Linked DNA regions of Macaca fascicularis. The protein of the gene in region 2 binds, or shares a complex with, the protein of the main gene of each other region. Links are inferred from orthologs where the notes say so. Each region holds a gene or a part of one and is shown on either strand. Other genes may lie near its edges.

Region 1 (3,652 bases), on a different chromosome or scaffold from region 2:
CATCTACTTGCAAGGGAAGAAAACGTCCCAGATTCTCTCATCTATACTTTCTTCCAAATTCAAGCAGCTCATGATCTTAAACGTTTTGTGATCTTGATTGAAGTATAAGCAAGAATCAAAATCCACAGCCCATTGGTTGCCCCCTGCGGAATTGAGAATCCATAGTGCTGTGGCACTTACTTCCAGCTCTCCCTGATTGCAGGAGTCAGGCTCCAAGAGGGATCCACTTAAAGCTTGGTGTTGCAAAGAACACATGGAAAAGTTGGCCTAGACTGGCCTGACATCAATGTTTCCTTAGTCACCTAGCTGTAGCTTCAGCTTAGGTGTGCTACCCTGGCTTTACCCAGTCGTTATTCTTATCTGGAAGTGTTTGAGGGCTGCATTTCTGAGTGACAAACTGAGTGTGTTCTTACTTGTCTTCAGGGAACCTCAGGGCATCATAGCTTGCTGCAACCCAGTACCACCCCTTGTGCGGCAGCAGATCAACGAAATGCACCTTTTAATCCAGCAGGCTCGAGAGATGCCCCTGCTCAAGGTAAGAAGCTTTTCTGTGGCCAGGCCTGGTGGCTCACGCCTGTAGTCCCAGCACTTTGGGAGGCTGAGATGGATGGATCATTTCAAGTCAGGAGTTCGAAACCAGCCTGGCCAACATGGTGAAACTCCGTGTCTACTAAAAATACAAAAAATTCGCCGGGTGTGCGGTGCGCACCTGTGATACCAATTACTCTGGAGGCTGAGGCAGGAGAGTCGCTGGAACCTGGGAGGCGGAGGTTGCAGTGAGCCGAGATCATACCACTGCACTCTAGGCTGGGAAACAGAGTGAGACTCTGTCTCAAAAAAAAAAAAAAAGATTTTCTACTGAAGGGTCCTAACTTAGCAAGCCTGGTTTTTGTTTTTTGTTTTTCTTTTTTAAGACAGAGTCTCGCTCTGTCTGCAGGCTGGAGTGCAGTGGCCCAATCTCGGCTCACTGCAACCTCCACCTTCCGGGTTCAAGCAATTCTCCTGCCTCATCCTCCTGAGTAGCTGGGACTACGGGTGCATGCCACCACGCCTGGCTAATTTTTTTGTATTTTTATAGAGACAGGGTTTCACCATGTTAGCCAGGATGGTCTCAATCTCTTCACCTCGTGACCCACTCACCTTGGCCTCCCAAAGTGCTGGGATTACAGGTGTGAGCCACCGCGCCTGGCCTTTTTTTCTTTTTTCTTTTTTCTTTTTTTTTGAGACAGAGTCTCACTGTTGTCGCCCAGGCTGGGGTGCAATGGTACGATCTCGGCTCACTGCCTCCAGGGTTCAAGCGATTCTCATGACTCAGCCTCCCTAGTTGCTGGGATTACAGGCGTGCACCACCCCCGGCTAATTTTGTATTTTTAGTAGAGGCGGGGTTTCACAATATTGGCCAGGCTGGTCTTGAACTCCTGACCTCAGGTGATCCGCCCACCTGGGCCTCCCACAGTGCTGGGATTACAGGCGTGAGCCATCACGCCCAGCCTTAGCAGACCTGTTTTTTCTGCTAGCATCTTATTCCTTGTGGCTGCCTAGATTCATGAGCTGGTATCCATCTAAACAACCCTAAGGAAATAATAGGGCTTGGGAAATCCAGTGTGTGTATCTTGATAAATTTAGCTGCTTTTTTTTTTTATGATAGTTGAAAACTATCTTTTTATTTATATGAAAACTCATTCTTTTTATTTTATGACCTTAGCTTTGATGATTCAGCAGCAAGTACTGTCTGGTAACTGGGCCAATTCACTGTTCTAAGGCAGTTAATCTGGTGGAGTGAGATGGAGTGGTGACCTCAGCAGAGGGAGCTAGTTTTGGGAGCCTGGCAGTGGCCCAGATATGAAGTGATAGCTCCCTAAATAAGTGAGGAATCACAGACTGGAAGGGAAAAAACAGGTATAGGAAGCATCAGAGGAAAAGATTGATGGGACTTCATAGCAAATGATGACAATGGCATCCAGTTTTCTTTTGGTTTTTTTTGTCATTGTTGTTTTGAGACAGGGTCTTGCTCTGTCACCCAGGCTGGAGTGCAGTGGTACAATCATGGCTCACTGTAGCCTCCATCTGCTAGGCTCAAGTGGTGTTGGGACCACAGGCACACACCACTATACCCAGCTCAGTTTTTTTTTAATTTTTTATAGAGATGGGTCTTGCTGTGTTTCGCAGACTGGTCTTGAACCCCTGGGCTCAAGACGTCCTCCCAGCTTGGCCTCCCAAAGTGCTGAAATTACAGTTATGAGCCACCTGCTAGCCCCACATTTGCAATTTTTATGTTAAAAATGTTTTGTAAGCTTTGTGCTTTGTCCAAGTAAAGAGAGACCTTGATTACTAGAGAAGAGTCTTTTTCAAGCTCTTTGGAATCCTTCCTGTTGTGCTTAGTCATGATAAAGAGCTTTATTCTTTCATTCTACAAGTAATTATTGAGCACCAAATAATTATCGTGCCAGGCACTGTAAAGAGTGAAGAGAGGAAAGAAAACCTCCGGGCTCTTGAGAAACAGGCTGGGGAAGGAACACAGTCAGCGCTGGGGACTGGGGGTTGGACTTGAGGCGTTTGGGCAACTTTCCCCAATTCTCTTTGTTTTTATTGTTAGTCTGAAGTTGCAGCCGGAGTGAAGAAGAGCGGACCGCTGCCCAGTGCCGAGGTAGAGTGTCGGATCCATTTTCTTCCCCGGGAGGGAAGACGTCAGTCACGGCCAGTGCAAGTATACCTCTGACAGAGGCCTGTGCTGACAGCTGGCAGAAAGCTACTGCTGGCTTGCACGTTTTACATGCCAGCCTGCTGGTGTCTTTTTGATGCAGAGATTGGAGAATGTTCTCTTTGGACCTCACGACTGCTCCCATGCCCCTCCGGATGGCTATCCAATCATCCCAACCAATGGTAAAGTTGAGAGCCCTCCTGACTGTCCTGAAGAGGTTGGGGCACAGCTACCTTGTCTCAAATTCTGTATGCTTGGCCAGGCGTGGCTTATGCCTGTAATGCCAGCATATTGGAAGGCTGAGGCGGGTGGATCACCTGAGGTCAGGAGTTTGAGACCAGCCTGGACAACTTGGTGAAACCCCATCTCTACTAAAAATACAAAAATTAGCTGGACGTGGTGGCGCATGCCTGTAATCCCAGCTACTTAGGAGGCAGAGGCAGGAGAATTACTTGAACCAAGGGGCGGAGGTTGCAGTGAGCCAAGATTGTGCCATTGCACTCCAGCCTAGGGGACTACAGCAAAACTCCATCTCAAAAAGAAAAAATAAACCAACAAAATAAAATTCTGTAGGCTTTGACCTTATTATCTTCTGCTCCTCTAGGATCTGTGCCAGTTCAGAAGCAGGCGAGCCTCTTCCCTGAAGAAAAAGAAGATAACTTGCTGGGTACCACATGCCTGATTGCCAGAGCTGTCATCACGTTATTTAATGTGAGTAGCACGGAAACTTCACTGAGGTGATGAGGACCCCCTGGGGTTTACTGGGTTTATCCAGCAAGTCGTCTGCCTGGAGTGTTGCTTACACTCGAAGACTAACGCTGAGAGCAAAACCCAGCAGTGCTGGGAGAGGCACAGAGACCGATGAGCAAGGCGACACTGACCACTCTGGAGGAGGTGGTCTGGGGTCGTGGATGGAGGATTCTCTGAGCTCTGTGTGTGAAGAAATCTTCA
Region 2 (3,652 bases):
AGGTAAGTGGTGTGGGGTTGGGGTCAGGAGTGGTGTTGAGAGATCAGAGGGGAGACCCACAGCTGGGGTGGGGCAGTGCAGAGAAGAAAAATGAGGCCAGAAGCAGGCAGCATCGGGAGCCACAGAAGGGCCAGGACAAGCTTTGAAGACAAAAGCCATAAACTCACCTATCAACGCCTCCCAGAAGGGAACACAAATCAGCACTGAGGACGGAAGGCAGCATGTCATAGCGACGATCTGCTAGATAATAAGTGGTGGCCCTGTGAATGACACACACGCGGCACCGCGACCTTCAGCAGGGAGAAGCAGAACTGCTGACTGTGTGGGCCGCAGGGAGGTAAATGGCCAAAATCTCACTACAGATTCCCCAAGGTAGTTGCTGTTTCATAAAGTGCAGCAGACTGGGTAATAAAACTATTCCCATGGTCCCATTTTTCTAAGTGATACTGCTTTGGGCTGAATAGTCTTCCACTGATAAGAGAAAGAAAGAGCAAGTGACAGTGAATCTTTGTTGCATAAGAAAAATTGGAGTGTAATGATCCAGCATTTTTATAAAATAGTATATTACTACATGAAAATTTAACCCATTTCAGTTTAGTAGGAAACAATATGTGAAAAGGTTATGTTAAAAGGAAAGGTAAATTGATCAAGGTACTGTTTTTCTAAACGAAAATGGGGAGTGGACCTCAACTTTTTTTTTTTTTCCAGAAGGGACTTTCAGAATTACACAAACATGAGATCTTTGAACACCTGAAACTAGTACAGACACAAAATACACAGTCACATATATACAACCATAGAGCTGATTTCAAATAGCATTACCTTGTTCTAGCTTCAATATCAATATAAGAATTTGGTGCCACAAAGTGTGTTACATCTGCGATGTGGACCCCAAGTTCCAGGTTGCCATTATTTAAGGTTCTGATTGAGAGTGTGTCATCCACATCTTCACAACCTTTGGGGTCAATGCTGAATACGAGATGGCTTTTCCTCAAGTCTTTACGTTTTTGTTCCTCTTCACGACTCACTTTCCAGGGATTTTCTGGTGTGTTTACCGGCATCTCACACATCTGTATGAGAGGTCAAATATTCAGCAATTCATGCACCACACATTTCTGTAAAAATCCACTCACTGATATTCTCAATGCGACCACAGAGAAATTCATTCATTCTCAATTACCTTCTGCATCAACCTATGTCGGCTTCCTTCGATCAATAATTGTTTATTAGGTGCCTCAGATATCCGGGGTACTGTGCTGGGCTCTGGAAAGTCAGGAGTCAACAAGAAAGACAAAGTCCCATACCCCTGAGGACCCTTACATTTGGACAGAAAATGTCCCACAACTTCTACCAGTCTCTTTAGTTACAGAGGCTTGGAACAAGAGTACAACATGTAGCCCATTTTCAAATGATCCATTCGTTTAAATGTAGTCAAGCTTTAAATTTAAGACTTGAAAAAATAATCAACATGTTCCAAATATTAAAAGCTTACCCCTTAAAGATAATTTTATACAAGACCTATCTAGGGCATTTTCTCTCCATTATTATCTGTTTAAGCCATCAATTTGCAGTTAAGTAGGCTAAAAGGGAAGAGAAAATTCTAGTCCTATGATGTATAGCTCACACTTTATTTTATTGTAACATTTTCACTAAGAGCTGCCAAACAAGTCAACAAATAATTTCCAGAAACTAATGTTAAATATAAAAATTTAATGATGTAAAATATTCTACAATAGTTTACTATGATAGCTCCTATTCTGTGAAAAACTATAATGAAAATAAGAACACCCAGACACTCCTTATGGCAATGCAAATGGGTCCAAATTTTCTGGAGAACAATCTGCTAGTACATATAAGAAGTTATTTAAATCTTTTATACCCTTTGACTTGGTAATCTCACTTTAAGGATTACATTCCAAGAGAATGATCAAAAAGATATTAAAAAGCAGGCCAGGCGTGGTGGCTCAGGCCTGTAATCCCAGCACTTTGGGAGGTTGAGGTGGGCGGATCACGAGGTCAGGAGATCGAGACCATCCTGGTTAACACGGTGAAACCCCACCTCTACTAAAAATACAAAAAATTAGCCAGGTGTGGTGGTGTGCGCCTGTAGTCCCAGCTACTCGGGAGGCTGAGGCAGGAGAATTGCTTGAACCCGGGAGGCAGAGGTTGCAGTGAGCCGAGATCTTGCCACTGCACTCCAGCCTGGGTGACAGAGCAACACTCCATCTAAAAAAAAAAAAAAAGAAATTAAAAGCAGTGTTTATAAAAATGTTCGAAGTAACTTTTTTTTTTTTTTTTTTTTTTTTTGACGGAGCCTCACTCTATCGCCGGGGCTGGAGCACAGTGGCGCGATCTCGGCTCACTGCAACCTCCGCCTCCGGGGTTCAAGCAATTCTCCTGCCTCAGACTCTCGAGTAGCTGGGATTACAGGTGCCCACCTCTATGCCCAGCTAATTTTTTTGTGTGTTTTTAGTAGAGACAGGTTTTCATCATATTGGCCAGGCTGGTCTCAAACTCCTGACCTGGTGATTCACCCGCCTTGGCCTCCCAAAGTGCTGGGATTACAGGCGTGAGCCACCGCCCCCGACCTACATTTTTTTATAATACTGAAAAATTAAACAGCTGAATGCTCAACAATTGAGAAATGCTTAAGCAAACTAGGGTATGTCAATATACCATAATTTACCATTATCATTAAAATAAGTAGGCTATGTCAATATATAAAAATAATTTTAAGTGAAAGAAGCAGAACAGAAATCAGCGTGTGCACATGATGAATATAGTCATGCAAGAATAATACACAAGATTTATGAGGGTTTTAAAAGATCATGAAGTGATGGAAATAGCTGATGTTTTACATTTATGGGATTTTTGTTTTCTGTAAAGGTTCACAAAAACTGTTTCATCGTGAGCATAATTTTTGACCCATGGGTCGGAGATGTATGAATCCCAGGAATCCACCCCCTGCAGCTTTATGCAGCCTCTGGTTGAATGATTTAGACAGAGAGTGTGGAGCTCAGTTGGGTCTGTAACTAGGTGTCCTTGTAGTTGCTGGGGACGGATGTATACTGACTATAAGACACTGACATATCATTTTTAAGCCCAGTTGGAAAATATAAAAATTTGAGAGCTATGAGGCTATAGAAAACTAATTCTACACTTAAAGCTGACTTCAGTTTGGTCCAAATATAGAATAAAGAGGAGTGAGATTTTTCCATTATCTGTAGCTTAACACAGTGGGTTGTTACATAACACAGCGACTTTTCTTTCTTAATGATGAAACAACAACAAAAGAAAAAAGAAAATGTCACTAGACCAAAGGTTTCTGGAAAACCCGACCTGAGCTTCTGAGAAAGGGATGACTGAAATACTGTTTTCCACCAGGATGGTTGCAATTTCGCCTTCCAGATCTCCAATTCTTCCTAAAACACGCACAAAATGTCCATTTGGATACACAGATGTTGACTCCCAAGAATCGATGCGCACGACCACCCTGAAGTCCTGCACAAAAGGAAAAAATAAAACACAGCTGAGCACCAGGAGTTAAGTGGGTCAATTAGAGGCATCAAACAAGAGGCAAACAGCACTGGGTTCCAAAGAGAGTGGGCAGTTGCAAATAGTGGTGTACAGTACGTTTTTTTTTTTTGTTTTT

Evidence for each region.
Region 1: DIS3L (region 2) and EXOSC10 share a complex: the UniProt entries of both Homo sapiens proteins name them as parts of the RNA exosome complex. The link is inferred for Macaca fascicularis from reciprocal best matches to the Homo sapiens genes DIS3L and EXOSC10.

The regions. Positions count from the first base shown.
Region 1 is NC_088375.1:223,720,935-223,724,586, forward strand, and holds part of EXOSC10 (exosome complex component 10), read left to right. Parts: intron 1-423; coding exon 424-535; intron 536-2,596; coding exon 2,597-2,647; intron 2,648-2,804; coding exon 2,805-2,883; intron 2,884-3,305; coding exon 3,306-3,412; intron 3,413-3,652. UniProt on the Homo sapiens protein: Catalytic component of the RNA exosome complex which has 3'->5' exoribonuclease activity and participates in a multitude of cellular RNA processing and degradation events.
Region 2 is NC_088381.1:42,977,810-42,981,461, reverse strand, and holds part of DIS3L (DIS3-like exonuclease 1), read right to left. Parts: intron 3,502-3,652; coding exon 3,340-3,501; intron 1,264-3,339; exon of another isoform or gene 1,190-1,263; coding exon of another isoform or gene 1,181-1,189; intron 1,071-1,180; coding exon 823-1,070; intron 472-822; exon of another isoform or gene 261-471; coding exon 168-260; intron 1-167. UniProt on the Homo sapiens protein: Catalytic component of the RNA exosome complex which has 3'->5' exoribonuclease activity and participates in a multitude of cellular RNA processing and degradation events.